Tribolium castaneum: one gene and its partners. The protein of the gene in region 2 purifies or fractionates together with the protein of the main gene of each other region. This does not show direct contact. Links are inferred from orthologs where the notes say so. Each region holds a gene or a part of one and is shown on either strand. Other genes may lie near its edges.

The links.
Region 1: the proteins of Sec5 (region 2) and Sec10 fractionate together in Homo sapiens (co-fractionation; 4 studies listed by BioGRID and IntAct, with this or other methods). This does not show direct contact. The link is inferred for Tribolium castaneum from reciprocal best matches to the Homo sapiens genes EXOC2 and EXOC5.
Region 3: the proteins of Sec5 (region 2) and Exo70 fractionate together in Homo sapiens (co-fractionation; 4 studies listed by BioGRID, with this or other methods). This does not show direct contact. The link is inferred for Tribolium castaneum from reciprocal best matches to the Homo sapiens genes EXOC2 and EXOC7.
Region 4: the proteins of Sec5 (region 2) and Exo84 purify together in Homo sapiens (affinity purification with mass spectrometry; 7 studies listed by BioGRID and IntAct, counting the BioPlex papers as one, with this or other methods). This does not show direct contact. The link is inferred for Tribolium castaneum from reciprocal best matches to the Homo sapiens genes EXOC2 and EXOC8.
Region 5: the proteins of Sec5 (region 2) and Sec6 purify together in Homo sapiens (affinity purification with mass spectrometry; 6 studies listed by BioGRID and IntAct, counting the BioPlex papers as one, with this or other methods). This does not show direct contact. The link is inferred for Tribolium castaneum from reciprocal best matches to the Homo sapiens genes EXOC2 and EXOC3.

Annotation. Positions count from the first base shown.
Region 1 is NC_087396.1:19,820,297-19,826,638, forward strand, and holds Sec10 (exocyst complex component 5), read left to right. Parts: upstream 1-2,736; 5' UTR 2,737-2,935; coding exon 2,936-2,968; intron 2,969-3,018; coding exon 3,019-3,143; intron 3,144-3,191; coding exon 3,192-3,309; intron 3,310-3,353; coding exon 3,354-3,551; intron 3,552-3,596; coding exon 3,597-3,661; intron 3,662-3,710; coding exon 3,711-3,894; intron 3,895-3,942; coding exon 3,943-4,160; intron 4,161-4,205; coding exon 4,206-4,316; intron 4,317-4,367; coding exon 4,368-4,463; intron 4,464-4,509; coding exon 4,510-4,669; intron 4,670-4,718; coding exon 4,719-4,954; intron 4,955-5,000; coding exon 5,001-5,087; intron 5,088-5,132; coding exon 5,133-5,238; intron 5,239-5,282; coding exon 5,283-5,439; intron 5,440-5,487; coding exon 5,488-5,732; 3' UTR 5,733-5,781; downstream 5,782-6,342. Other genes in the region: uncharacterized protein LOC660185, read right to left, coding at 29-86; G patch domain-containing protein 11, read left to right, coding at 946-995, 1,047-1,506, 1,553-1,816; transmembrane protein 50A, read right to left, coding at 1,976-2,082, 2,132-2,399, 2,449-2,553. UniProt on the Homo sapiens protein: Component of the exocyst complex involved in the docking of exocytic vesicles with fusion sites on the plasma membrane.
Region 2 is NC_087403.1:224,880-231,194, reverse strand, and holds the start of Sec5 (exocyst complex component 2), read left to right. Parts: upstream 1-2,313; 5' UTR 2,314-2,484; coding exon 2,485-2,593; intron 2,594-2,639; coding exon 2,640-2,792; intron 2,793-2,835; coding exon 2,836-3,115; intron 3,116-3,155; coding exon 3,156-3,337; intron 3,338-3,701; coding exon 3,702-3,916; intron 3,917-3,962; coding exon 3,963-4,412; intron 4,413-4,457; coding exon 4,458-4,808; intron 4,809-5,446; coding exon 5,447-6,291; intron 6,292-6,315. Other genes in the region: uncharacterized protein LOC654960, read right to left, coding at 1-461, 513-709, 784-845, 1,694-1,794. UniProt on the Homo sapiens protein: Component of the exocyst complex involved in the docking of exocytic vesicles with fusion sites on the plasma membrane.
Region 3 is NC_087399.1:7,151,786-7,157,354, forward strand, and holds part of Exo70 (exocyst complex component 7), read left to right. Parts: intron 1-350; coding exon of another isoform or gene 351-515; intron 516-1,419; coding exon of another isoform or gene 1,420-1,443; intron 1,444-1,493; coding exon of another isoform or gene 1,494-1,718; exon of another isoform or gene 1,719-1,758; intron 1,759-1,814; exon of another isoform or gene 1,815-1,837; 5' UTR 1,838-3,385; coding exon 3,386-3,436; intron 3,437-3,481; coding exon 3,482-3,647; intron 3,648-3,720; coding exon 3,721-3,920; intron 3,921-3,972; coding exon 3,973-4,314; intron 4,315-5,569. Other genes in the region: stet (uncharacterized protein LOC657740), read right to left, coding at 351-515, 1,420-1,443, 1,494-1,718. UniProt on the Homo sapiens protein: Component of the exocyst complex involved in the docking of exocytic vesicles with fusion sites on the plasma membrane.
Region 4 is NC_087398.1:809,768-816,123, reverse strand, and holds Exo84 (exocyst complex component 8), read left to right. Parts: upstream 1-2,069; 5' UTR 2,070-2,166; coding exon 2,167-2,230; intron 2,231-2,281; coding exon 2,282-2,437; intron 2,438-2,485; coding exon 2,486-2,685; intron 2,686-2,738; coding exon 2,739-3,035; intron 3,036-3,082; coding exon 3,083-3,209; intron 3,210-3,255; coding exon 3,256-3,774; intron 3,775-3,848; coding exon 3,849-3,979; intron 3,980-4,028; coding exon 4,029-4,439; intron 4,440-4,488; coding exon 4,489-4,686; 3' UTR 4,687-4,730; downstream 4,731-6,356. Other genes in the region: Wdfy2 (WD repeat and FYVE domain-containing protein 2), read right to left, coding at 303-438, 485-816, 989-1,235, 1,286-1,633, 1,682-1,839; sperm-associated antigen 7, read right to left, coding at 4,731-4,834, 4,958-5,117, 5,162-5,333, 5,385-5,541, 5,586-5,664. UniProt on the Homo sapiens protein: Component of the exocyst complex involved in the docking of exocytic vesicles with fusion sites on the plasma membrane.
Region 5 is NC_087399.1:3,909,612-3,915,637, reverse strand, and holds Sec6 (exocyst complex component 3), read left to right. Parts: upstream 1-2,591; 5' UTR 2,592-2,666; coding exon 2,667-4,895; 3' UTR 4,896-4,932; downstream 4,933-6,026. UniProt on the Homo sapiens protein: Component of the exocyst complex involved in the docking of exocytic vesicles with fusion sites on the plasma membrane.

The DNA of each region.
Region 1 (6,342 bases), on a different chromosome or scaffold from region 2:
TGTAATTTTTCAAAATAGAAAGTCTTACCACGAAGAGGAGAAACTGCGAGGAACAAGAGTAAAAGCAAAAACGGTGGTCCTTGCATTTTGGTTTAACAAATACTGAAAAAACTGATTAATAAAAAAATCGTAAAAATTTTAATGGGTATTTTAATTAAAATAAAATAGCAGCGATCACGACATTAATTGACGAATTATTAAATTTGCGAAATTTTAAAACAAGTTTACCTTTGTCAGCACTTACAACGTCTCTAACAGAAAACACACATTAAAATGAATTCCGGAGACAAAATTCCGAATATCAAATATACCCACTATCAGGTTCTTCGTTTTATCACTTTTTTTCTTACAAAAACAATTTCCATACTTGTTGGTGTACTTTGAGTTTTAAAACGGATTGATAGGTATAAAAATTTACACAAACATAATGTTATTTATAGAAAACAACATCACAAACAATGAGATTACTTATGATTGTTGTTGCAGTTATTTATATGAAATTAATTATATTCTAGATGTGGTTTTTTATAAAAAACACTTTAAAAAGAACTAATTTTGTATAAAGTAAATCAAAACGAAAATAATTGGCAGGATAGTTACTTAATCGTAAAGTTTTGTTTAATGGTAATCTTTATGAGTTTCTGGGATTAATTGGGGTCATCGTTAATAATTCCAAAATATTACCCAATTCATGTGATAACGAAATAGTGTACTTGTATTAATTTTTTGATTTATTTTAAATAAGATATCAAAAATTATTGAAATGAAATGTTTTCCCACAAGTTTTTGAAATCACAGGCTCGCCAATCTGAGACATATGAGAGTTTTTCACTTTTCTACATAAATGTTGGCAGTAACTTTAACCTAGAAGAGCAGAAGGTTATAATTTAGGAAAATAAACACAATAATCATGAAAAAAACGTAATAACAAAGAAAAATAGAAAAATGTCGGATTCGGAAGATGATTACATGTCTGATAAGCTTTTAATGAAATGGTAACCTTGCAAGCATTAAGTAATGTTTGCTTAATTTTCTTTCAAATTTAGTGATGAAGACGTCCGTCCTGGACTAGTTTTCAACCGCACAACGAAACGAAAGTATGAACTAGAGAAAAAAAGGCAGGAGCTTTCGGCCAAGAAGCCCAAAAACAGTAAAGAAAGAGAAGAGGAGCGAAGACAAGAGGGCTTGAACACTGCTATTTCAAATGACAACAAGGGCTTTAAATTGTTGGAGAAAATGGGTTTCAAGCAAGGACAAGGTTTGGGAAAATCGCAGTCTGGCATAACAGAGCCCATTAAAATAGAACTAAGGAGTGGCAAGTCAGGGGTTGGGTTAGAAAGCCATTTTAAGGAAAAAGTTACCAGGAAGAAGGTTCACAAAGAGGAGACTCTTGCAAAGAAAATGGACGCGTTTCATACAAGTATTAAAAATAAACAAGCCCAGAAGTTGCTCTGTAAGGATTTTGTTAAAGCGCAGAGAGCTTGTGAAGATTTGGATTTAAGAAAGGTGAACACGTTGCTAACGAGTCAAGTGTGTTATTTACTTGTTTTAGAACACTGATGAGCCAATTCAGGAGTTTTATTGGACGAGGGAAACAATTAAGAAGAAGAGAGGTGTTCAAGACGATGAGGAAGAAGAGGAACAGTTTAATGAAGAATTTGATTCCTACTTTACTGATGAAAATTTAAGCGAACTAATTCATTATCTAAGAAACACGCATTTATATTGCATGTTTTGTGCATTTGTCGCAACTGACGAAAATGACTTAAGTACAAGTTGTCCAGGTCCTAACAGAAGCGATCACGATGACGATTAAATAAATTGTGATTTTTAATTTATGTTTTATTTATTTAGCAAATAATAAATTACACAATATTACAACCTAGTTTTTACACTTTACACTTAATAAAAAATTAATTGTTATGCTCATGAAGGGTAAAATTTGCAACATAAAAGTATGAGTGTGAATTACTTTCTATGTCCAAATGTCTTCAGATCTACCAAACTTGAATATGAGTGACGCGATAAAAATAAACACGTTCTGCAAAAATATAGCGACTCCCGGCCAATAGTGAGGCACCTCTGTAAAAAAACTCAATTAAAGTTTGCAATTTTTTACAAAAACTCTTACTCTTGTTGACGAAATCAGCAAATAATATTCCACAAGAGGCAATCACAGATGCAAAACCCATTACAAAACCGACAAAAAGCCACACTTTGGCGCCTCGGGGGCCCAAACAGCCCCCCTCATAAGCGTCGCCCCTCATTTGGGCGTTTGAAACGGAATTGATCATTATCAAAGACACGGCCCCCACGACCCCACACATGTGGTATCCTGCTAGGACAGTCCCTGGGTATACACTTGCGGCATCGATTATTATCCACCAGCCTACGAAAAACTAAAATTTGGATGAATCATGTCCAGTTGTAGAGCACAAAAAAGCTCACCAAAAACCCCGAGATCATTGAAGCGTACGCATTTCGCCTATCACCCCCTTCGAACCAAATACACGGCGGAATATTTATATTTTCAAAACAGTCAGCTATACCCATTTTTTCCCGATTTAATGGCCTTAAATGTAAACAAAAACGATATTTTTTTGGTGATTATGAACTAATGACTTGGGGATTTTATTGTGCGTTTGACGTTTCGAGGGCTTGGTGACACTGGACGTCAGCTGATTAAAAGTTATTTTTTAATTATTTTTAATTAATAAGTCGAAACCACCCAGAAAAAAAATCGTGTGTGATAACGCGCACCCAAAATATACCAGAAATTGTCATAAATTGTAGTTTTAACACCAATAACAAAGGTCTACTTTGTTGTAACCTAAGATTGGTTGGACGTCAAACTGACAGGTGTCAAGTCAAGCCAAAAATAAATAAATTCATGTTTATATCTCCTCCAGTTTAAAGGAAAAAATTTCGCGTCAAAATGATGCAACAATATATGAAAGAACTGGAGCAGGTATTTAACTCCACTTGTAAGTCTTTGCATAAACGCCCCCTAATCTTTAGGAACCGTTTGATGCTGAAGAATTTGTTGAAAGATTAGCTTGGCGCACAATAGCTGAAACAAAAAATGACGGTGATGAGGACTTTAATCCAACATTGCTGCATGACTCGTTTGTTCAAGCTATTAAGTAAGAATTAGGCTTGTGTAAGTCCCATAACTGGGTTCGTTTTTGTAGAGACTTAACTTTGCTCCAAGAAAGGCAAAAAAAGAAATGTGAAAGGCTCGAAGCCGCCGTACGCGAAGACGAAGCATTGTTTTTTCAAAAAATCCACGATTTATTGGGGCAAAATAAAGTAGGTTTTAAATTGTGTTTGCAAAATACAATCCTCAATTTTAGCAAGCCATTGATACGTTTCAAGAGCTAGACGGAAAAATTAACCATGTGGCGACAAAAGTCCTACACTTGGGTGACCAGTTAGATAGTGTTAACGGACCTAGGGCAAGAGTTGTTGATGCAAAAAATCTAATGACACATTTGAATGAATTCTTACAAACTGGCCCTCTCACTTCAGAAATCTTCACCGACTCGTCAAAAGTATTTTTAATTTTTAAATCAACATTTGTTCAACATTTCTTGCAGATTGATGAAGCGGCAGAAGTGATACAAAAGTTGTATTTAATTTCACAAGACCTGCCCTCACCAAAGTAAAAATTTAGATCAATAATTGTAACAACAAACAATATCATGTTTTAGATTTGAGGGCTTAAAGCGCAAAATTGAAAGAAAGTACGATGAGACAGAGCGGACTTTAATTGAAGAATTCTCAAATGCGCAAAGGAGGGACGATTTCAAAAGAATGAAAGAAATCGCTAATGTTTTATCACAATTTAAAGGCTACCCCCAGTGCGTTGATGCTTACATTGAACGGAGTCAAGCTGTAAATATTATCATATTATCATTCCTCTTGTGGAAACAATTTTTTTAGGGTTGCTTGTTGAGTAAAGATGTATTTTCGCGTTTGTTTCCCTTATGTGAACTAAACTACGATGTTATTAAGAAAGTATTTAATAACCCGGAACAAGTATTGGCAAAATTTGTCCTAAATTTGTATCATTTGAAACTGCAAGAGTACATCGCGTCAAAACTATCCTCGAAATTAGATAGTTACAATTATTTAAAAACTTTGTACGAGTTATATGACAGGTAATTACACTCTGAATGATCCACCAGACTCACTTTTTATTTTAGAACCAATCAGTTATCGCAAGATTTATCCGTTTTTAACATGGGGAGCGACAAAAACTATTTAAATAAGCTAACAAGTAACATTTTCAATAAATACATCGATAATTACATAGCGTGAGTTTCCGTACTGGTTTGTTCCAATTGTTTTAATTAATCATAATGCAGATTAGAACTAAAGTGTCTCAAAGAACGCAGTTCTGCCAATTTGCAACGTTACTACGAATCAAAAAACCACCAAAAGAAACAGATCCAATCTGGCGGGTATTTTTATTATTTCGTGTTTTTCCCTTTGTCTAAATTTGTACAGGTTCCAAGACTTGAGACGCGACATCCAGGCCGTAATTGGGACAAGGGCCAACATTAACATAGCCCAGATTGAAAATTATGGTGGCGAAACATTCCTGTCTGAGGAATTAGCAATTACAATTTTGCAAGACACGAAACAAGCGTTCCAGCGTTGTCAGCTGGTACATAATTTGTGTAACTGAATGAAAAACAATCTGTTTTATTTTTTAGCTTTCAAAGCCTGAAGACAAGGCGTCCAATGCCAGTCAAATTTTAGACCGTTTGCTCAATTCTTTGCTAATTGAACACGTAGATTATGCGCTGGAGTTGGGGCTTCAGGCGATTCCTGTGGTAGAAGGGTCCAAGAATCCTCCAACTTTGTATTTCTTCACAGTGGTGCACCAGAGCAACAATATAACGCACTTGCTTGAGAAACAAATCACTGATTTAGCGGTGCCTCTCATTATGTAATTTCTTACAAAATTGTATAACGTATCTCAGATTTGTTTTTAGAAATACGCCAAAATACAGCGATTGCATGCAAAAGAAAAAGTTTATTTTGGAGGATATTGAACGGAAAGTTAACACCGGACTGGACAGGTGACACCCAAAAGTAATGATTTACTTTTTTAATTATTTTTCTAGAACTTTGAATGCTGTGGGAAGTTGGGTAAAAGTCTACCTGCAATCAGAGCAGAAAAAAACCGATTTTAAACCAGAAACTGACGACTTCGATACGGTCGCTTCTCCGGTAAATCACTTCCACGTTCTGCATAAAATAATTCCGATTTGTAGGCGTGCAAAGCAGTTTCCCAATACATAAGTAATGTAATTAAGGAGATCAAAGACAATTTGGACGGTAACAACGTTACTGCCATTTTGCAAGAGCTGGGAATTCGATTACATCGCGTTATTTACGATCATTTATTGCAGTTTCAGTTCAACACCGCGGGTAAATCAATTAAAAATGGTTTTGTGTTGGCTAATTACGATTTTTAAGGTGCAATGGTCGCAATTTGTGATTTAAATGAGTACCGATCATGTACTAAACATTTAGGTCCGCTTGTGGCCGAGTTGTTCGAAACTTTGCATGCGCTGTGCAATTTATTATTAGTGAAGCCAGAAAATTTGCAACAAGTGTGTTCAGAGGATTCTCTGGTGAATCTCGACCGCTCGGTTTTGCACAACTTTATCCAGCTTCGGAGCGATTTCAAGACACAAAAACAAAATTTTCTCAAAGTGTAATAAGGAATTATTTGTTAAATGATTAAATAATAAAGGCATATATTTACTATTTTCTGTATCATGTTTGGACCTACGTTTTAAGCGCACGCTTAGAATTCTTTAGCATTTTTAATTATTATTTTCTTTGAACGAATTTCGTTTCAAACTTCCATTTCGCAAATTTTTCAATTAAAAAAAAAAGATTTATGTCACTAAAATTTTAAACAAATAAGTATAAAACATCAAGGTAAGTGTTTCAAAATATTCCCTACTCTGCGAAAGCTGCAAAAAAATGTAGAGAATTTTCTATATTTTTTCTAAGTCAGAGACAGCATAGCAACTTGAACGGCTCTACTGAACCACCAAAAGATAAAACTAGTTATGTAACGACTTTCATTTGAGATCTAAGCCGTAATTAGTTCTCCGTAACGCAAAGGCATGACTTTGCTTTTAGGGAAGTATGAATGAAAATCCGTGAAATTAAATGATTTGTTTTTATTATTACCGTTTACAGTTGAAATTGCAATTACTTAATTCATAATAGGGGTATTCAAACTAATCACTGAGGGTCGTTTTTACAGACATTATTCTGTGTTTAATCCTACAAGTCGTTCCACATTTTTAACTACCA
Region 2 (6,315 bases):
TCGTCACATGATCCTGTTATGTACAAGGAAACTCTTCCAGTGTAAGTTGGGGAGTCGTTCAAATCGTCACGAGATCCAGCGATGTAAAGTGACTTCTTCTCGCAATAATTCACTTCTACTTCATCTTCTTTTTCCTCAATCAAATTACTCGTAATATCCTTAACGACTAAGTCTGAACCGCCTCCCTCCGAAATGACCGACAAATGGTCACTTTCTTCCAGTTCTTCATTGGGACAAGATATCACTAGGTCTGGAATGTTACTGTTTGACTCCGCTTTCTCTTTGGCAACCACATTGTTATTACTATCGTCTTTTAGCGCTTCCATATTTTTGTTAAAATCTTTGAACTCGTTTATCATTGCGTCTGGTTTGGTTTCGTTATCAGTCGAGAAGGAGCAGTCGGTGTCAGCAGAAGTCAGACTCCAGTGCGAACCATCGGAGGAAGCCTCCAAATTGCTAACCTAATTAGTAACAATTAATACTTGTACAGTTGACAAGACAGGCATTATTACATTTTGACTGGACGCCGATTTGGGGGGCAGAGGCGCCCGCTTTTTGCCCCTTCGCTTCGTTGTGCCAACATTTTGTCTTTTCTCTTCTTCTTCAAACGGATTTGAGCCTGGGGTGCTTATCCGCTCCCGAAATCTTGACCGGGGAAGCGCCTCCTGTTGGGGGCTTGGGTACGACAACGGCGACCTCTTGAACGTCTCTTAAATAAATTTTTAATCATTTCCGGGTGACACCCAACGGAAGTTGGCCAGGTCATGGTCACAGTTCACTTACCGCTCTTTTGCCGGAGTGTCACCTCGTCGTTGTCCTTCTTTTTGATCCGAAAGGACTGCCGCCTGCAACGATTTCATTAAATCGCCGATATTTATAATAATGATGTCAGCAAAGTCATAATAGATTACTCATCTAGGTGGGTAAATAAATTAAATCGTTTTTCGATTGTTCACGAACTTAGTTATTAATTTGTGGCCACTTTCGTTTAGAAAATGCGCGCTTCGATTACAATTGCTAATTTATTGTGGCAACAAAATTCGGTAAACACTTTCTTTTATGTGAACGGATGTCATACGATTTAATAAAACTAATCAGGGCCGGACAATGCATTGTTAAGCCTTGCGGACGATTCTGTGTTGAATAGTAATTAAAATTAATGTCTCCTTTATTGTAAATTGGGCTGGATTTAGTGCCGGACCCGAGTTGCATATTTTTATCGGACTCCTAATTAGAGTAATCAATTAATAAATAAACAAATCGCTTTTTACATGTGCGTCACATAAATTGGGCAATTATTCGGTAAAATTTAGACTAGAGATGGATTTTCATGAGTGTAGTGACAGCGAGCAGTAAAATTATTTATTGTTTTGGGTGCATTGACCATTTGCTGGTAACTTCATTTCGCAACAACCCTAGCACATGTATTTAATAAAAATGCGAATAAGTTGTCATTGTTTCTCTTAGAATTCGGGTCAGAGCTGTTAAAAAATTCGCACTTGGCTATTCAAGACGGCAAATAAAAGATAAAGAGTTAAATATTTTGAAGGTAAGTAATTAATAATCCCTTGACTAGTTATCACTTATCGGTGTTATCACAACGCAAACATTACACACGCCTATTTTCGGCGTGATTCGGATTTTTCCAATTCGTTTAATTGAAATTTCGAAAATGCGCCAGGGCGGTACTCACAAATTTCTTTTAAGTTCTTTGAAAGAGTCCCGAATTGTCAGTTTGGGTCTGGGCTTCTCGTCCGCAAAAGGGTTCAAATGTTCAGGGTAATTATCGGTCATTTTTTGATGCACAACACGGCTGCACACTAAAGAAACTGCTCTGAATGTGTGCTAGCCCCCACTATCGCATGTATCTACGGTAAATTACTTAGTGACGTCACTTAAGTGTTTCCATTATTTCCACGCAAAATAATCGCTCGAACTGCGACAAGTGGCGCGAAATTGTGCCAAAAGTGGCAATTTTCGAATCAGATATTGATTGAGTCGCGACTTGTTGTTCTATTTGGGGACGACCTCGGGAAATAATCAATACCGTGCTTGCTTTACCAGAAAATCAATTTGTGAAAAGTGACGAAATCAAAAAAGAAAAAACACGCAGCGAATTGAAATTTTATGTAAATTGGGCTGCACTTAGCGAAATTGGACAATTGTAACATGATGCACCGCAATAAATTTTCATTAAGTTAATACGCACTTAAATAAGACTTTATTTCCGCGGAGGAACGGAAATACGCATCTTGGCTTCAAATTTAGCGCCGTGTGGCTGGTTTGAAGTTCGCCCAAACATGGCGTTGGCTGTGTTGTTGTCGTAATGTAAACGTCAAATGTCAGAGTTGAAACAAAAATATTTTTAATTTATTTATTTGAATCAGAATGCAGTAACGAATTGGTTTAATTAATCACATTTGATTTGGAGTATCGCCAGTATGAGTTTTTGAGACGGAAAGTGCTTAGTTTTTTAGTTAGGAAATGGCACCGCCCCCTGTTGTAACAGGGCTGAGCCCTAACGAGGGGCTTCCAGGGACTAGGATTACAATACGAGGGGAGAATTTCGGGTCAAAACCCACAGATTTGATAGGTGGGTCACTTACAGAAGTAGTAGAAAAAAATAACCTAACTTTTAGGTTTGTCAATTTGCGGCTTTGATTGTCTTTTGTCGGCCGAGTGGAAATCCCCCAATAAAATAATCGCGATTTCGGGGCCCGTGAAGGGCAAAGGTGATGTGATAGTGACGACAAGACTGGGGGGTGTAGGCACTTGTAACGTCACATTTAAAGGTACAGTTACGCTTTGAAAGCCCCTTTCTATTAATGATTCAAGGGTACCACGAGACCATCGGTCCAATGAAAGAGAGTGCGGTTTGGGTAGAAGAAACCACCCCCTTGTTTGTATGGGGGCGCCACTCCTTGTCCCCCAGTAGTTACCAACAGGAGGACCCGTTAGGTCTCTCCGTTGAAGGCAATGACAAAAAATTCCCCGAAGATGATTTAATGACATACTTTCCCGATAAATCGGGCGACATTGCCTCTGGAAATTTTTCACCAGGGTGGTTCCTTCTGGAAAATCATCACGCAACGTCGTTCAATGATCTACAGGCCGGGTAATTACAATTATTTTGCGCACAATTACCTCCCAGTTAGGTTGAATTTTTTGAGGCGCAAGGTGGAAGGGCAGAAGGAGGGCCAATTGTCGTTTTTGAAGGCAAATATTGGCTCGGTTATGGACCAAATTGACACTCTTGTCAATTTAAAGGAGAAAATTGAGGCCGATGTCGCCAAATTCGGGACCGAGCCAACGCTCAAGCTCGAAAAATCAATAAAAGGTTCGATTTTTGCGCAAATTTTACTCGGCCACATGTTTAAATGTGGAAAAAATATTTTTTTGTTCAAAAATTTCAGGCCCTTTATTCCAAAAAAATTACTGTTCAAGAATTTTTATATTAATTTAGACTTCATCTCGGTGCAGCAAAATTTTACAAAATCATTTGCTCCTTGTCTAAAAAATTTTTGAACCAAATTTTTGGCCCAATTAACGAAAACACTCACACCTACACGTAAATATACAGGGTGTTCCAAGTTTTTCTTAAAAATTCTTTGTTTATTTGAAACAATTCTCTTTTAAGCAGTTCAACCTTAAATTATTTTTTTTAATTATAACTTTGGCTGAGTAAATTACCTGTTTTTTAGAATCTGAAAGGGAAGGTAGGAAATTGTTTGACGACGTGCTAGCGCGGCGAGACCGAGCCGAAAAGACTCGAAACGCGCTAAACGTGTTAGCCCGGTTTAGGTTCTTGTTTTGCCTCCCGTGTGTAATAGATAGGAACATAAAGAAAGGTGAATACGATATCGTAATCAACGATTACATACGAGTCAAAAATTTATTCAACAAAACTGATGTGCCTGTAAGTGTTCTTCAACTTAATCGACTGTGGCTAATCGAAGTTTAAGATATTTAAGTCTGCACTTAATGAAGTGGACAAACGAATAGCCGACCTTAAAAAGAAGCTCCTTACCGACTTACAAACAATGCCAATAACTGTAGAGCAACAGAAACGCTTAATTAGATACTTAGTGAATTTAGACTGTACCGAGGACCCAGCTTGGCGGGCCATCGAGAGCCGCTCAGCTTACATCAACAAAAACATAAAGCAGATTTATGGCGAGCACAATGTCGAGAAACCCGATCCGAGATCGAAGTCAAACTCGACGTCGAAATACTCGAAATACAACCCTCCGCCTCAGAACGACTTAAACACAGTTCCGGCAAACGTGAATTTTATTGACGAAATTTGCCTCAGTATTTCGGAAACGTTCCCAGACTTGTGGAAAATCGGCCAGGCTTATTTCTCGGGTGAATTGCGAGTCAAAATCGAACCCGGACGCCACGTCGAATTTAAAGTAACTCTCCACTTGGCAAAAATCGTTTCTATTTCTAGTTTTTAGCACATTGTTATGACAATAATGGAGAGTTTTTGCAAATCAATCCGGTCGTCTTTGATCCCCAACACTCTCGATAAGGCCGATAAAAGCGCGCTCGGGTCTTGGACAATCCCCGAACTTGAGGAGGTGGCGCCGTTCTTGCCCGAAATTTTACGATGTGTGCGCTCGACTTACATCGCTTTAATTAAGTTAGATTTGCCGAGTGAGGCTCTGGATATTGTCTCGTCGCTTTTACTCGACTTGCGGATACACTGTATGAGTACTTTATTCAAGCAAGCGGCCGAACAAATCAAGCAGTTGAACGAGAACTGGAAAATTGATTTTAGTGGGAACCACGTTGGGATAACCGAACTGGTAGGTAGCCAGTCTGGTCAGTCAAATCAAAATGTTGAGCATAAGCTTGTATTTTTTTTATACAAAAAACGAGAAATAAAGTGTTTTTTAAAGATTATTCTAAATCGGGATGAGCTAGAAAAAACGGTTTCAAATAAAAAATAATTGTAATTTTCCCGTTTATGAGCAATGAAACTTCTACTGAAACACTGGTATTTCTTCCAAGGCGGTAAAAATCACTGTATAAACGCTGAAAATGTTTATTCTGGTATAAAACGACTAGTGTTTTACAAAAATCAAGAAATGTTCTTGTTCTTGTTTTGGTATTGTAAGTTAATAATTATGAAACAAAGTTATGATACAAAAAACTCATTGACTAATTGTTTTTAAATGCTTCACTGTAACTTATCATAATACAATGTGTTCAAAAATGGTTGTTCATCAGATCATTTTTGCCTTTTTCGGCAAAATTGTTCTAACTGTAGATTTTGTCTTGATTTGTGTTTTGTATTTCCGTGATTTTTGTTGTGTTAAGCGGCACATTACGCTTAAATTTCATAGGTGACTTGACTTGAACAACCATTTCGGAACAGTGTGTAAAAGTATGATCTCAATATTTTGATTTGATTGGCGAGTTTCGCGTCATGTGCCTCTTCCAGCCAATCAAATTCGAGCGCATCATCCAAGACGTGATCCAAATCGTTAAGGAATCGGTTTTATCGACGGAGCAGCGCGAAACACCTCTCTTGGAAAATCCGACTGCGCATAAAGAGTTGGATAAACAGATCGAAGCAGTTTTAGTGTCGTTTCACAACGTTTTGAACAATTTATCGTCGGATGAGAGTTGTGATGACGATGAGGATACGTCACCTGTCGTCTCGCAACTAATCGGAACTCCGATCAATGGCTATAGAACGAATTATACCAATAATAATATGCCGATTTGGGAGCACCGTCTTTTAATAACACTCTCGAATTGCCTCTATGCCAAAAACGTGGTCTTTGACACCATTTTACGGAAGTTCAAGGAGAGTGGTTTCCCGGCACCGGAAACGCCAGTCAAAAACGCCAAAGATAAGTTGGATGTGCTCGAAAAAACGATCCTTGAGAAGTATTTGGAACAGAAAAGTGATCCTTTAGTTGGCACAATCGAACCCTCAATGTATTTAGGCCGATTTGATTGGGACATTGAAATAACCCCCAATAATATAAGGCCCTATGCAAAGGAGTGCATCAATAACGTGATCCATGTCCACTCTGAAGTTAACAGTATTTCGTCTTCTCTACTAGAAAGCGTACTTCCTCAAGTAGTCCTAACGATAGCCGAAGAGTTATACCGACTGATGTCCTGTGTTCAGAAGTTTAGCAAAGGCGGGGCACAACAAGCCAGAGCCGACATAAGCGCACTGCAAATTTTTTTCGACCATTACTCGACACCTAAAGCTCGGAGCTACTTTCAGGAAGCTTTAGATATTATTCCTCCGCTTGAAAACTCCGAAGCCACGTAAGTTTTTCTCTGCTTGTTTAG
Region 3 (5,569 bases), on a different chromosome or scaffold from region 2:
GAGCAGGCCGCGATAAAAACAAAAGTGACATAACGAAAGTCAATCGACGCGTAAATGAGACGTCACCCCCAGGCGTACCACACACGCCGTACCAAAATTCCCAGCATCCCCCAATAACAATAGACGATCGGGGGAGAAATACGGCTCTTTCACTGTTGTGACTACTTTGTCGGTGTGAAACGGCCGGATTTGGACGAGTTATTTATTGCTTGTCACACTAACGAGGAATTTGAAAAATGTCATTAGTGTGGGCGGGCGCTTTTACATCGGCGAATTTATTTATGAAAAACACAATAGAATCAAAAACCCCGACGTTTCAATGCTAGCTTAATGCGAAATAAAAAACTCACCACGTTCACGAAATCTTGGAATGTAATCGCCGGTGTTGTGGCACTCCTGGCCTTTTCTAACAGGATCTCGCGTTTTCCAGTGCCGACGCGATGACGAAACTCCGGGTCCGACATTGCTGAAATCAAGTCGCCCCAGGGGATTTCCCCGAAACCCTCCGGGTCGTACTGCCAACACGCGGCGTTAAAAGTCACCAACTTGTTACAGAGTATGGAAATTGCTTCTTTAAATACAAAGCACAACAATTTTTTTTTGCTATCTTTTATATTAAATTATATCTAGATTAACTTTATTTAAATTTATTAAATATTTAATAAATAATTTTAATATTAAATGCTAAATATTTAAATTTTATTAAAACATATTTTTTTAACTTAACTCAAAAACTCAAAGGAATTTCGAAAAAAAAATAAAAAAATGATCACAATTTCAAAGCACTTAATGATGTGCTTACTATTTTTAAGACTAAGGATCGGTTTATAAACGTCATTAATTTAATCCGCAATTAAATGCGTGATTAACTGATCACGTGACCAAATTGAGCCAATTTGATTGGTGTATCGGCTAAATTTAGGGAAATCTCATGAAAATCCCTTTAAAATAACTTGATTTATCTAGAAACGCAGTAAAAAACATATCTTTTTATTCAAAATAAGAAAGTTAATACCGACTTCCGGTATAACCGGAAGTGCCGCCATGTTGAAAATATCGCGGCTTTACACAATTTGCAGATACTTATAATTATTAGAACATTCAGTACTTTTAATATGCCGTTTAAGCGAAACAGCCTGTATATTGTGGCGTTTATTTAAAAAGTTTTTCTTTTTAGGTTTACTTGATTTTCAAAATTTTGATTTTTCAAAGATTTTGGCGGTTTTGAATATTTTTTTTTCTGAGATTTGACATGATGGCCAGTTTTTGATAAAATTACATAAAAGACACGTAATAGACATCAAAAAAATAAGAAAACATGTTCACTTGTGATATTAAAAGATGCTAAAAGCGAAAAAAGCACTTTCCATACTCATCAGAAACAGTTATTTGTTGGATTTTTTGATCATCCGTGTGTACCTTGTCGAAAAACTGGCGCCATTGCTGTAATAAAAAGTATATATTTTGTGTTTTTTGCATTTTTGGGCGCTCACGTCTCGTAAAAGTGTTCGTTTGAGTTCGGCCTCGTCCGATTCGCTCGCCAGATCCGTGTGATCCGTGTCGTAATGATCCGGAAACGAGGCCAAAGATCCGGTGATTGTCGCTATGTGTCCGGGTTCGATTCCGGATTCCGATGATTGGGCATGAGTAAGATTTGTTGGCAGGATTTGGGTGGTAGAGGGCGACACTCGATGAGGCCACGCCGAGTGCGACAGCATAATACCGGTAACTGCATGGACCGGTTTGCGTCTCGGCTAACTAAAATTTGCAATTTATGCCAAAAAATTGTCTTTGCATATTGTTTTTTATTTTACTACTGTTATTGTTGTTGTTACAGCTGTGAATGATCCTTGTCGCCGATTAAGTGGTACGAAAACTGAAAAAATGGACGAATTTTCCTCACAGCACCATTCACAATCGGAAAAACTCAACGAAAAGGTTTTCCTCGCACTAAAAAACCATACACCTGTCTCAAAAAAACTGAAAAAAAACAAAAACACGCCACACGTTCTGCACTCCGGCAATTTCCACTTTTCCCCAACGTCAACTCGAAATTCCCCTATCGTGAAAATTCATCCCCTCTCGAGAAAATCGTAAGGTTTCATTGATTTTAAATCTAGTCGGCCGGGGGAAGATTGGGGTGGTTTTGGCCGAAGTTAGGGTGAAACATTTGACGGGCGACAAGCGTGAATCACAGAGGGTGCGTGTCTAGACCAAATAATCAGAAATTCCGTTTCTTTTCATTAAATTTAAGGGAGAATTAGATTTTTTCGAATCGTTTAGGGATTTGTTGTTTGTCAAGTTTGACAATGTTTTTCTTTTAAATAATCATCTTGCTTTCGCAGTAATTATACATTACTTTATGTTTTCCACCCAAATGCGCGAAGGACGTTAAAAACGTATAGAAAATTTCGAAAGTAGCACTTTATTTAGAGTACAAATATTTAAGGGTTAGGATATGAAAAGATGTAGAAAATAAAACGTTCCCGTCCTATGTTTTCAGACCAATGAATTTGAAAAAAAAATTGTATACCGTTTAACACATAGCAAAGAAAAAAATATAGGCACATAGAATATTAAATTCTCCATAGTAGGACATAAACATAATACAAAAATTTTATCGTAAACTATATTTAAAAAAACTTGTACCAATTTGCACTCTACCCCATATTTTTCAAAACGCTGTGAATAGAGTTACAGATGCAAGAAAAATGTTAAAAAGAAAGTTGTAGAAAATTAAATTTTTTACAAAAAAGTCCGGGACACCATGTTTTTATGAAGATAAAAACATGAAGATAAACTGTTGAAGAACAGTTTAGGTATAAATTACGTTTCCGTTACTTGAGCGTTTTTGAACGTTTTTAGAACCTAAACTGTTGACGATAGAGATATGGCGTCACGAATTTTTTATATTAAATTTATTTCTCTACAAATTTCTTCAAAATTATTTCCTTGTATCTTTAACTATATTCGCAAAGTCTTGAAAAATACGGGACGAAACGCAAATTGTAAAATTTTAATAATTTTTTTTCTCGTATTTTTTTATGAAAATTTTAGACCATTAAGAGTACAAAGCTCAATATTTTCGCGTTTTTTTTCAAGTAATAGTGAATTCGTTGGGTTTAAATAAATTTGGCGCCGAAACAATATAACGTTTGAAGCGCCCTCATTTTTACTCCACCGGACTATTTTTTTGGGTTCAGATAATTTTGAGATTTCGTATTTTCTTTCGTCTCCTAACTTATAGTCCTCCGTAGCATTCTCTAGTTTAGGGATTTGCCAATTGTCAAGTTTGTTGATTTAGTAACAAAAGACGTCAATAATGTTTTGCTCGTAAAGTCTTCAATTTTGGAAATAATTCTCCAAAATATTGGGATTAAACAAGATGAATATTATCGAGGAACGCACTTATGAGATTACAAGCAAATTGGAGAAAGTCAGTGATTTGGTAATCGTGACATAATCTAACTTATGCCCGTAGGAGAAATCTAACCTATCTTTGCTGACTGAAAGACTGAAAAAAAGCTCTCAAATCACGAAAGGCATTGATACGATTCTCAATTCGTTTGAGGAGCGTCTTTCACGGCTTGAAGACACTATTTTACCGGTCTACAATGATACCGAAAATTTACAAAAATCACAAGTCAGTATCCTTGAAACGCCCCTAGTTTTCGTCTCAAATATCAAATTTAGTTGATTTTCCTTGACTCAAATAACCAGATATCGACCAAACTCTCACATATCTCGACGATGTTATAAGCTATTACAACGTATCAAGTGACGTTGAAAGCACAATTGAGAAAGGACCTGGTGAGAGCGGTATCGATTTAGACGACTACATCCACTCATTAAATCGCCTGGCGAAAGCCCAGAAATATTTCGAAAAACACATCCCCCAAAGCGTGGAACTCGAAAATGTCGTACGTCTAACCCCCATTTTTTAGGTCAACAAAATTTAAAACAGGTTTTTAGACCACTTTATTTCATAAAGGTAGCGACAAACTCAATTCCGAATTTAAAACAATTTTGGACAAATACAACACTCCAATGCTTCCGGTCGTTCTCCTCGATTTGATCAATTACGAGAATTCTGACAACCGCGAAAAGCTCCCACCTGTTCAAATTCCAGACCATACGAAAGCCTATTTGATTAAAATCGCAAATTGGCTACTTGACAACGGCCGAGATGAATATTTAACAGTTTATGGTAAAGTGCGTGGGGCTGTTTTACAGCGGTCTTTGACCATGTTACGCAACCACCAGAAGAGCGTAAGCGGTGGGAGTGTCCATGGTGTTGCCAGTTCACCAATGCTGGTTGGTAACTTGTGCTGGTACTAGGGCTGGGCAAGATAATCGAGTAATCAGTTGATTAATCAAATAATCGGTTAATCGTTATTGACACAAAGTACGTTCAAATATAAAAATTTTATCCGGAATTTTTCGGAACTATTCGGGTTTTTCCGTCGGAAATAAACCTTTACTCAGATGGCGCTACGGATAGTGGCGGCAAATTTGAATTCAATCTAAACCTTGTTCGTTTTTTTTTTCATTTAATAATAAAACAAAATTATAAATATAATTAAACACTAACAGAAAGTACTAAATATAAATATTAGACTACTTACAGATCATTTACAACATAAGTATAGTTTCAGACACAATAAGTTATCTTTTTAGACGTTTCTGCATGATACAATGGAGAATATTAGAATCGAAATACTGGAAATTTTTATTTGTCTGTCCTAACCTTCTTTACTTCCGCTTCTGCTTAAAATTGGTTTCACTAAAGAATTATTGTAAATTAAGAGTGTTAACTTCTTACATTAGAGAGAATTAGATTAAGAATACGTGATAAATACTAAATACTAGATTGGGCTTTGGTTATGCGGTTTTTTCTGTAGTTATAAAGTGTTTTTTGTTGGAATTTGAAAGAGAACTAAAAGTGTAGAAGATTAATTTTTTGATTACAAAATGTTATTAAAACAATTGTATACTTAAAGACTATAAGTAATGGATCATAGCGAGCACATGTTGGGCTCAAAAAAAAAGACAACAAATTAGTGAAGTGTGTGAATTTTAAGTTAGAATTTTTCCACTAAAAAAATCATGTAATACTTCGGTAAATTTACAAAACTGCAATTAAGATTAACAACTGCTGTTACATTTAAGCATAAGTTACAAAAGGTGGTCTTTTCAATGTCTGTAATAATTTTACGTAATATTAAATTACGTATTATGCTAATATCATAAAATAGTGAGAAACACAAACAAAAAGAATAAATAAATACTGCAAGAAATTTTGCAAGATTGTATTTCAAGTGTTTTTTTTTACCAATATCTTTGAAACTAAATGGTCGTAAATTTTACATTAGACTCAGGCTATTCTGATAGTTTCGAGACAATCTGTTATAACACTTTAATTATTTTGGTTTTATTCCTTTTTTTAGCCGTACCACTTGATAAATCTAACATTTTAAACAGTACCTGAAAATAACTAATTAAATGTAACTAAAAATAGTTAATTAAAAATACAAAAAAAAATAAAAAAGGGCTTAAATAATGATCAATT
Region 4 (6,356 bases), on a different chromosome or scaffold from region 2:
AACAATTGTTTGTTCGAAAAAAACTGACAACAATCGGACCGAAAGCAGGTTCCTGTAAATTTGACGTCACCACAGATTACCATCCGTTCATGGAATCATGTCACTTGTTCGCACACTTGGGTTCAAAAATAGCACAAATGAGGCGCAATTCTGTGATTATAATAGATTTATTTTCAATAGAACTTATAGAATATAAATATAACATTAATAATATTTAAATTTTACATAATGTAATAAATCATAGCACATTAATTAATTGAGTGTGAATCACATTCCAGCGTTAGTAACTAAACCAGTCGGATTCAAAGCAAAGCGGAAATGTCCCAAATTTTGATTAGCCGGTCCTGTCCGACTGTTACCAATTTTTTGCGAGTCTCGTCCAATCCCATCGCTGTAATACTATGCTTAGCATCATGGAATGTGGCTAAAGACACCCTCCTGTAAAAAACTTTAGCAAGACATAACTTCACCACTTGCAACTCACTCTCTATCCCTTAACAAGTGGTGACAAGGGTCACAGACACGCACTGCGAACTCGAAACCCATCGCTGGAATTGTTAATCTACCTGTGGAACATTTCTCGCAAACTGCTTTCCCGCAATGTCTGCAGTGGTGTTGCCGTAAACCCAACTGTCGCTGGTCCATCATGGCTCGGAAGTTCCAAAAGAACGGTCTTCCACACAACTGACATAAATCGGACTCGATCCACTCGGGAGTCTCCTGACGCGTTTGGTTCATGTCCCAGAAGACCAGCACCCCGTCCTCGCCCGCGCTGACCAATTGTTTGGTCGAGTTAAGGTAGCACAAAGCAGAGACCTGTAATATCACATTCACTTGTTTCCACAATTTTGGTAATTTTTGGCACTGTTGCCAATTTAATTTCAAATGCCGATCGCCAACAAAAAACAAACCTTGACCTACGTAACCAATAAACAATTATCTTTGCTTCGGAAAAAATCCAACTGCGGTTGTAATAAACAATGTTTACCTTGTTGTGGTGACCTTGCAGCTCGTAGGCGTTGCCCTGTTGCCCCCCTATGTCCCAAACGATAACAGTTTGGTCGTAGGAGCCACTAAATAACATCTGCCGCTCGCTGTCCCAAGCCAGTGACCTAACAGAGCCCGAGTGCCCCTTCAAAGTTGTGATAACACTAGGGCCCGCATTATCCAATTTTAACATAGTTATTTGACCAGAATAATCCCCAACAAACGCATGTTTGGTTTGTGCATCAAATCTGCAAAAATTAAAGACATGACTCGAAAATTTTCCGCAAAAAATTAGTACTGTAGAGAGGTGCACCAGGCCTCAGCCGTGTAAGTCCCAATGTTGCGGCCGGTTTGTGTGCAATTGTACGAAAACACTTTATCCCTGCTCACGCTCAGAACCCATTCGCAGTTGATGGCAAAAATAATTTCGGTGACTCTTGCCTGATGTGCTAGGTACTCCCGCACTGGCATCATTCGGTTGAAGTCTGATGCCAGCGAGAATTCTGACACGGTCCCGTTTTCCTGTCCTATGAAAAGTTGCCGGGTTTCAACTGTGTAAAAGACCGAAGTGGCCCCACTGGGCATGTACTGGCAAATGCTGGGCCAGTACTGGCCTGAGTCTCGCTTCAACCAAACACGTACCGTTCTAAATCACAAAAATGAGGCGTAAAGACCGGGTTTGGGAGCGACTTACTTGTCATCTGACACACTTATAACCCCATCTTCGCCCGGGATCAAAACGGCGGCGTTTATTTCGTCGCTACAACCTTCCAGTTTTGCCAAAAGGGCGGGCTTTTTCGTTGTGCAGAATTTGTCGTTTGCTTGGGTTGCTGGCTTGATTTCCGCTGCCATTATTAATTAATTTGATTGTAATTATAACACTGTTTTTAGGTTTGACACTTTTGATTTGACAGTTTTACGACGCAGTTGCCGATAACAAGCGTCCCTAACCAACGATAATGTGCAAAGAACCGCAAATGACAATCACACAAACAAGTTACAAACGATAACCCACACGTACATGTCGACCACTTGCGTGGCTCACTCTAATGTTCGCTCACAACGCCAGATCTATTGACAAATTACTTGTCAAACCATTGAGGTTATAGGAAATGGCACCGCCTCCCTTTTTGTGTTAGAAAAAACTTTATTATCAAATAAATAATTATTTTTTACACCATGGAGCCCACAAAAGAACCGACTTTAAGTTTATTTAGCTCGAAGGAGTTTGATGCGGGAAAATGTAACATAATTAATAAGACGTAATCACTTGGTGATAATTAGGTTCTTTTAGATGTTAGGGAATTGTCTCAAAGTTGTGTGGGGGGCCCCGAATTGCGACGCCTCCGTAAAAGAATTCAGTCACTGTCTGAGGACACCAACAACAATTTGAAGCAAAATGTGTACCGCAATTACACCCAGTTTATTGACACTGCTAAAGAAATATCTCGTATTTTTTTAATTTTTACTTAGTTATAAGTCTGACTGTTTTTTGTAGACTTGGAGAGTGAAATGTATCAATTGTCACACCTTTTATCTGAACAAAAATCCTTATTAGGTGCCTTATCAACAACTTCGATTTTGGGCGAAGAAACTCCAGTTATCACAGAAATGGAAAATAGGGACAATCCCAAAGACCAAGGTGACGAAAACCGACAGAAATTAGCCTCAATTTTAGAAAAAGTTGAGGGTTGTAAGGTAAAGTGCCATTTTTTGGCGAATTTTTGTTACTATTGGTATGACTGGTTTAGGAATTGTTGGAAGTCCCTGGAAGGACTTATTTACACGAAGGGGATCTTTTAGAAGTTGACCCTCTCGATAATCACATCATCAAAACGGTCCATGCTTATTTATTTACAGACGGCTTTATGACTACTTGCAGAAATAATAATAGCCGGGGTTTAATGAAATATGTTTTTGAGGTAATGTACGAGTTAGGTAGTCTCGCGGTAGTAAATGTGCGGGAAATTGGTAACAACAAACACCAATTCAAACTATTGATTTTTCCCGACACTCGTGTTTTCCAATGCACTTCTGGCTCAAATAAGGTATTGCGAAAATTTAGTTTGCACAAGTTTACAAAAAAAAATCGTAGAAAGAGTGGTTGGATAAGTTCGACCAGGCCAAAAAAGCCCGTCTCACCCAAGACCAACAAAAACGCGAATCAATCGTGGAAAAATCGCCGTCTCGGTCCGCCTCAATCGATTCCCCTAGCCTCAACCGTAAGTCGGCACCACTGTCACTTTTCCCCTATTTACCCCACTATAGCTTTTGAGGAAATTGAGGACGAGGTCGGGACAGTACACCCGGACTGGTTTCTGGAAATCCCCGAAGAGTTAGACGTTTGCGTTGCCCAAAGACACTTTGAGGACGCTCTAACTTTCCTCCAAAAATCGAAAGACTACATCACGCAATTTGTTGCCACTAGTGGCCAACCGGACCACGTGATCCTCGACATCCAATTAAAAGTCGAGCAAAGGCGTAACCACTTAACCGAAGTTCTGATGAAAGAACTGGAAGTTAATCCAGACAAGTCACAACAAGGGGGCTTGCGGGCCGCCCGCCGGGCCGTGAGACTCCTCAACCAGTTGGGGCGCTCCACAGCCGCGTGTAATTTATTCCTGAAGTTGTGCAGCAACATGCTCAAAACGCAGTGTAAACGAGTGAAGCGTGAATGCTCCACGGTCATGTACGTGAGGCATTTGTCGAGTGTCGTTTTTACGAATATGTGTCACATGACTGAGGAGTTCCTCAGGGCTTTTCCCAGCTCGTCCAGCTGTTCGTCAGGTTTGTACAAAAATATTAAAACGGTGTTTTTGATAATATTTAGCGGAATTAATTAATAAAAAAATTTTTCAAAGCATACGTGGTGTGGGCCAGTAACGAGCTGTCCGTATTCACGACTCATTTCATAAAACAGGTGTTTATGCCGCAAACTTCGCTCTCTACTTTAACAGAATGTGTGGTTTTGGCCCGCTCACAGTGCGAACGAGTAATTTACCATTTCTCTCTTTGTAAAAAAATGAAATTGGTGGTTGTAGTTGTGTTCTTTTGGCGTTGATTTGTGTTACCAGCTAGATGGCGCTTTGCGCACTTCCCTAATGCAGGCCTTGAAGGACGCCCGTGACAAGTCGATAGAAGTCGCAAAACTTCGGGCTCTTGAAGATAAATGGATTCCTATGAATCTTCGAACAAAGACAGCTTTGGCCCGATTTTTGCAGGAATATTCCGATTTGGGGCTCAAAGTGGACAGTTACGTCACTGGCGATACGTGGATCCAACTTACAAACAATACGCTTGTTTTTACCAAACTGTTTTTAATTCTTTTGAATGATTGTTTACGACTTGAAACAACCGAACTGCTTTATACGATAAACGACGTTCTTTATGACGTTTTTGAGGCGCAAGTGCGACACATTGAAGCCTCCTTGCGTAATGAAAATCAATTAGAGGTAGCGTAAAAAACCGGTGCAATATCTTTATCAGAATTAATGTTTGTAGCAAAGGAAATTCATTACGAAAAATGCCGAATTTCTCCTGACTACTGTTCAAGACTTAAGCCAGAAAAAATACAAAGAAGCGATCGGTTTCGAATGCGCTTCACTACAAAAACTTCAAAAGGAATACTCAGCACTGACTAAAGGAGTCTCACCAACGAGTAGGAACACAAAAACAAAGTATTCATCAGAGTTTTTATAATGTGGTAAATGTTACAATAAATATTGCCTAATAAATACAATTAACTATTCAGATGGTGTTTCATGGCTGGTTTTAAGGCGCTTTTTGGCCCTGATGTCGGCCATTGTTTGCTCAATTGACCTGACGTCCTTTTTATTTTCGCTAGGCACTAAACAAGCAAAAATTAATCACTTGATTAGAATAAACTTTCTGATAAATGAATTAGTGAATTATTGGTTGAATTTAAATCGATTTAAGTACTATATTTTTTTGGGTTGATATTTTAACTTACCAAAGCCATAGCTCTTATTAGTCTCGGTTTTCTTGGCCGCCTCTAGGGCGGCTTCCTGTCCAATCAAATGCGCGTATTTGTCCCTATAATTAGAGTGTGGTGTGAACTTTTCCGGCTTTCTTTTAGTAGCTGCAACTTCTTCAATCTTCTCCATTTTTCTCTAAAACCCAAATTAGGAACAACCTAATTACGGTTCAAACGTACTTTTTCGATCAACTGCTGCCTGATTTGTTCATTCCAGGGGTCCCCTCGCCTCCTTGCCGCCAACTCGTCCTCACAAGGAGCATTTTCTTTCCTGTACACCCTGACATACCTATCCACCCCATCATTACCAAAAGCGTACGACAATAACCCCGCACTTTCGGCAGCTTCGTGGCTAAAAAACTGTGTAAATTCTCATAATACGAAAAAATAACCACACAAATACACAATGCTCCGATAAATTTGGTCCATTGGCTCAAATTTCAGCATCGTATTGTTGGGGTCTTTAAAGTGCGACGCTAATTTCGACTCGACTCGCTCTTTAAACCGTTTTAGACGCTCCTTTTCCGCTGTTTGTCGTTTTTCGATTTCCTCTTTTCTCTCTGAAATTTGGGGTGATGAAGGTTATTGAGGTTAAATCACTTACTTTTAACCAATTGGCGTTCTTTTTCGCTCAAACTTGGAGGTTTCTCCATAGAGTTCATAATGGAACCCAATAGATCCATCGTGGGTGTTTAAAGCCCTTGGTTTTTCGAAATTAGGGCTTGGCCAAAAATAGGAAATCACAATAATATAACCAAACTTTTTCGAACTGTCAATTAACTTTCACGAGTTGGGCCAATGAGAATTTGTGGCGGGAGTTGCCAGTGGTGATGCTACTCATGATTGGTTGTTTTCAGATTTGAAACATGGGACGGGAGGTGGTAAATTTAAACTCAATAGTTTTAAAAATGTTTTATTCAGTAGCAAGTCACAACATAAAAAGATACACTTATACTAGAAATTAAATAACTTAAATTAGTTTCCACGACGTGGCACAAAGCTCATTGCCAATCACAACCTGGCGTGTGGAGCTCGCTGATTAGCTATCACATTACCAAACTTTACATTTCTTTTTCGGGTTCATTTTCGAGCCTAGTGGACAACTAAAATCTTTGGCAAAATAGTCTAAATTACTGAAAGGACCAATGACCCGGAAGTAGCCGGGCGAGTGATATCCGGTCAAAACTCGCAATTTTAATGATTCTGGCCGGTATTTCGCACACCATGTGTTTGCGGCTGATATCCAGAACATCTGATTTGGGGTGTATTTGAGTCCAGGGAGGGTTTTCTCAATGCCGTGCCGTTGTGTCCATTTATTGTAGGCCAAATAGGCCTCTTTGATACCACCATTATCGGCGATATTTTCTCCTTGAGT
Region 5 (6,026 bases), on a different chromosome or scaffold from region 2:
TGTTTGTTGCTTTAAGTCTTACAGTTTCTGAGAAAAACGCAAAAAAAGGTTTCCATTTTCACTTTTTTTCAATTTTCAACCGCCAATTATGGCGAAACTATTAGAGTTATCGAGAAACGGAAAAATGGAAGACAACTGGAATAAAAAACTCTAGAAAATGACATCGAACTCAAGGCGATATCTCGTAAAAAAAATTTCAATTTTCAAACGCCGATTACGGCCAAACTAAAAGAGCTAGAGAAAAACGGTTTGTTCCATCGTAAAGAGCACATCAAAATCTATAAGATAGAATAGGTTTCATTTGATTTTGAGACACTTTAAAAATTGACCGATTTTAAGGGGGGGTGTTAACTTTTTTTTTATTTTTTTTAATTTCTCATTTACGGCTAAACTATTCCAAAAAATGGAACTGTTTTAATCCATACCCCTGCAAAATGATCCGGGGAATCGATTGGCATCAAAAAAATTGCCAAATTCCCAATAGTTTTTTAGTTATAAATTTTTTAAAATTTTACCAATTTTTGCATTTATCAGCAATTTCCTCGAAAACTATTAGTCGGAGAACAATAATCTTTTTTGAAAAAAATAGATAATTTAAAGAGCTTTCCAACGATAATACACTTCATGGGGTTATCTCTAATAGTTCCGGAGCTATTGCTCGAGAAATGTTCCGGGTACCCAAAACCGACAAAAACTGCGACGAAAATTGAAAAAATCAAACATCAAAAAATTGAACATATGGACTTTTTGTGGACTTTTAACAGCTTTTGTGGGTTGTTAAGACATGTAGAAGTCCATAAAAATTTTCAGGAGTTAGTTAAAAAAAAATTTTGTTTCACCTCTTTGAAGGTGAGTCTTGTATTACTCAGGAAATTTGAGCAAAAAAATTGAAAATTTTAAATTGCGTGAAAAACTGATATAATATGTAAAATGAGCCGCTGAATCCAATGGACCAAACCGCACTGCTCTACGACTTTTAGTTTTCGAGTTATGAATTTTTTTATTGAAAAAAATTTTTCACTATGACAAATGGCTACCCTAAATTTAGGCAAAAAATTTTAAATTTTTAATTCTTGTGAAAAATTGATATAATATGTAAAATGAGCCGTAGAATTCAATGGAATAAACCGCACTGCTCTACGACTTTTAGTTTTTTTTTTTATGAATTTTTTTAATGAAAAAAATTTTTCAATATGACAAATGGATACCCTAAATTTAGGCAAAAAATTTTAAATTTTTTATTCTTGTGAAAAATTGATATAATATGTAAAATGAGCCGTAGAATTCAATGGAACCAACCGCAATGCTCTACGACTTTTAGTTTTTTTTTTATGAATTTTTTTAGTGAAAAACTTTGATCGCTTCTGTAGCCGGAACCGTTGCCCGGAGCGGCTCCGGGTTTGGTCGAAAAAATAGACAAAATTAAGCGCTATCAGATGGTTTTTTGTTTGTTGCTCTAAGTCTTACAGTTTCTGAGAAAAACGCAAAAAAAGGTTTCCATTTTCACTTTTTTTCAATTTTCAACCGCCAATTGTGACGAAACTATTAGAGTTATCGAGAAACGGAAAAATGGAGGACAACCGGAATAAAAAACTCTAGAAAATGGCATCGGACTCAAGGCGATATCTCGCAAAAAAATTTTCAATTTTCAAACGCCGATTACGGCCAAACTAAAAGAGCTAGAGAAAAACGGTTTGTTCCATCGTAAAGAGCACATCAAAATCTATAAGATAGAATAGGTTTCATTTGATTTTGAGACACTTTAAAAATTGACCGATTTTAAGGGGGGGGTGTTAACTTTTTTTTAATTTTTTTAATTTTTTTATTTACGGCTAAACTATTGTAAAAAGTGGAACTGTTTTGATCCATACCTATGCAAAATGATCCGGGGAATCGATTGGCATCGAGAAAATTGCCAAATTCCCAATAGTGGTTTAGTTATGAATTTTTTAAAATTTTACCAATTTTTGCATTTATCAGCAATTTCCTCGAAAACTATTAGTCGGAGAACAATAATCTTTTTTGAAAAAAATAAATAATATAAAGAGCTTTCCAACGATAATACACTTCATGGGGTTATCTCTAATAGTTCCGGAGCTATTGCTCGAGAAATGTTCCGGGTACCCAAAACCGACAAAAACTGCGACGAAAATTGAAAAACTCAAACATCAAAAAATTGAACATATGGACTTTTTGTGGACTTTTAACAACTTTTGTGGGTTGTTAAGACATGTAGAAGTCCATAAAAATCTCATGAAAAGTTGGTATAATATAGAAAATGAGCAGCTGAATCCAATGGAACAAACCGCTACGGCTAACCGTTCGAAAGATATCGTCAAAAATATAGTCTCGTTACAAAAATGTCTCAACTAAACTTATGTTATTATCTTTATTTTTTTCACCCCCTTTATATTCCGCAATTTTCTTTATTTCTGTAGGATCATAACGAACGATAATTTTCCTGGTGTGAACTTGGCTGTAGAAAACGAAAATGGTAGAAGGGGAAATGGTACTAGCTCCATGCGCGCAGCAGTTGTCTGGTCGACTGTAAGTTTTGGTGCGATCCTAACCGACATTGACGAGAACGCTGTCAATTGAGTGTAAAGTCAACTGTCTCACCCAAACGTCAAACTGACAGTTTAGGTTAGGTCAAAACACCCCCAAAAATGACCACAACAAAGTCAAATATGCGCGAATTGGAGGCGGCGGCCAAAGACTCGGCCCGGGCGCACGTGGTGAACATGTTCCAACGTCCAGGCCAGTTGGAAAAAGTCGACCACTTGAAGCGCCGCCTCACCCGCAAGAAAAACTCCGTGGAGGCGCTCCTCAAGTCCGCGATGCAGCAACAACTCGACGGAGTCCGCGTCGGACTCAACCAACTGCACTGTTGTCTCGAAGACGTCCGCGAGATCGACTCAAGCATCAAAAAAATGTTCACTCTCTTCAACGAAGTCCCCGACTTGTGCGCCAAGCTGAGCCAAGTCCGGGACGAAAACATGCGGCATTCGCAGTACGTGACCGCGCGCGAGAACTTGAAGCACATCTTCACGGTCCCCGAAAGTGTGGAGAAGACCAAACAGTGGATTAACGAAGGGAAATTGCTCCACACCCATCAGTGTCTGAGGGATTTGGAAATGTCCCGCGATGATTTACTGTACGAGTTGCATAAGTTGCCAAACCAGTCACCGCATGATAAATCCATGCTTAAAGCGTACTTTGCCGACGTTGAGACTTTGTCCAATTTATTGGAGAAACAGTTGAGGCTGATTTTGTCGCGTACGCTCAACACGGTGCGGAAGGAACCTACTGTGATTGTCACAGCTCTCCGGATAATTGAACGGGAGGAGAAAACCGACCAAGAGGCACTTAAACAGGAAAAACAGACCGGGTTCTTGCCCCCAGGGCGGCCCAAAAAATGGAAACAAATGGCGTTCGAAGTGTTGGAAAAGTCAGTCGCTACTAGAATTGAAGGCACGCAAGTCGACGAACGCGATGACAACAAACACTGGCTCATTCGTTACTTGGAATTGACGCGGCAGCTCATTTTGGAGGACTTGCGAGTTGTTAAAACACTGTGTGTCCCGTGTTTCCCGCCCAGGTACGGGATCATCGACAAGTACATACAGATGTACCACCACTGCCTGTCCCGCCACTTACAAGAAGTGATTCAGAACGGAATCGAAGGCAACGAATACGTGACCATCCTCTCATGGGTCAGTAAAACCTACCAAGGGGTTGAGCTACTGGGCCACCCGGACTTGGTCGAATACACCAAACACCTGGAGCCTTTGCTCCCCCAGCCCGTGATGGAGACCCTCGAGGCCGAGTATTTGCGCAACATTGAGACAAACTACGGGGAATGGATGCGAAACACCCTAAACTCAGAGGAGAAAGAGTGGCGCTCGAACATCGAACCCAACTCGGAGAACTACACCCGCACGGCAGCCCCCATTATCATCTTCCAAATGATCGACCAGAACTTACAAGTCTGCAAGACGATAAGCGACGAAATGACGTGCAAAGTCCTCATCTTGAGCATAGAGCAAGTCATCAATTTCGGGGACATGTACCGGAGAGCAATCGTCGAGTTCAAAAACAAATACTTCGAGGACCGCAAGCAAGTCCCGTACTTCACCCAGTACATGATCATGATCGTCAACAACTGCCTCCAACTGGCCGATTTGGGGTCACAGTTGGAGAAGCAGTACTGGGCCCCCACGTCGCCGCCAACTCTCGGCGATCATTTCAACCGCTTGCGGACGACTTTCATCCAGTTGCGCAACGACTCCGGCGATTTCTTACTCGAGGAGTTGTTCCTGGACTTGGACAAACACTTTGACGAATTGTTCACCCCGCGCTGGCTGGGGACTTCGCACCCCGTCGACACGATTTGTGCGACTCTCGACGACTACTTCCAAGACTACAATCGCCTCAGCGAACCCAACTACAAGTTTATTGTGCACCAGGCCCGCGCTTTGGTCTCCAAACGCTACTTAACCGCGCTATTGTCCAAAAAAGGCACTTTTAAGACGTATGAAGAGAGCGTGCAAGCCAGCGGAAAGATCGTCAAGGAGGCCAATCAGTTGGGAAAGTTACTAGACACACTGTGCAGTTTAGAAGGCGATGACCCGTTTGAGAGCGTTATTTTGTTAACGGAAGTATTGAAGAGCGACGATGATATGCTATCCTTTGAGCTACATCGGATTGTTGAAAAGTATCCCGATATCACCGAAGATCATTTATTGCGACTGTTGAGTCTGAGGGGTGACCTTGCCAGGTCGGACATCCGCGATAAAGTCGCGCATTTGCCCAAAGTTAAGGCCACGCACCAGAGCAGCGTGTTCCGGACGCTGGTGTTCCCCAAACTTGTTAATCTCAACGTATTCAACAATTAAATCTATAAGATAGAATAGGTTTCATTTGATTTTGAGACACTTTAAAAATTGACTGATTTTAAGGGGGGGTTAACTTTTTTTTTTCTCATTTACGGCTAAACTATTCCAAAAAGTGGAACTGTTTTGATCCATACCAATGCAAAACGATCCGGGGAATCGATTGGCATCGAGAGAATTGCCAAATTCCCAATAGTTTTTTAGTTATGAATTTTTTAAAATTTTACTAATTTTTGCATTTATCAGCAATTTGCTCGAAAACTATTAGTCGGAGAACAATAATCTTTTTTGAAAAAAATAGATAATTCAAAGAGCTTTCCAACGATAATACACTTCATGGGGTTATCTCTGATAGTTCCGGAGCTATTGCTCGACAAATGTTCCGGGTACCCAAAATCGACAAAAACTGCGACGAAAATTGAAAAAATCAAACATCAAAAAATTGAACATATGGACTTTTGTGGACTTTTAACAACTTTAGTGGGTTGTTAAGACATATAGAAGTCCGTAAAAATTTGCTGGAGTGCGTTTAAAAAAAAATTTTTTTTTCATCTCTTTGAAGGTACTAAGTGTATTTATTACTCAGAAATTTGAGCAAAAAAATTGAAAATTTTAAATCTCATGAAAAGTTGGTATAATAGAGAAAATGAGCCGTAGAATTCAATGGAACAAACCGCAATGCTCTACGACTTTTAGTTTTTATTTTATGAATTTTTTTAATTGCAAAACTTTGATCGCCTCTGTAGCCGGAACCATTGCCCGGAGCGGCTCCGGGTTTGGTTGAAAAAATAGATAAAATTAAGCGCTATCAGATGGTTTTTTGTTCGTTGCTCTAAGTCTTACAGTTTCCGAGAAAAACGCAAAAAAAGGTTTCCATTTTCACTTTTTTTCAATTTTCAACCGCCAATTGTGGCGAAACTATTAGAGTTATCGAGAAACGAAAAAATGGAGGACAACCGGAATAAAAAACTCTACAAAATGACATAGGACTCAAGGCGATATCTCACAAAAAAAATTTCAATTTTCAAACGCCGATTACGGCCAAACTAAAAGAGCTAGAAAAAAACGGTTTGTTCCATTGTAAAGAGCACATCAAAATCTATAAGATAGAATAGGTTTCATTTGATTTTGAGA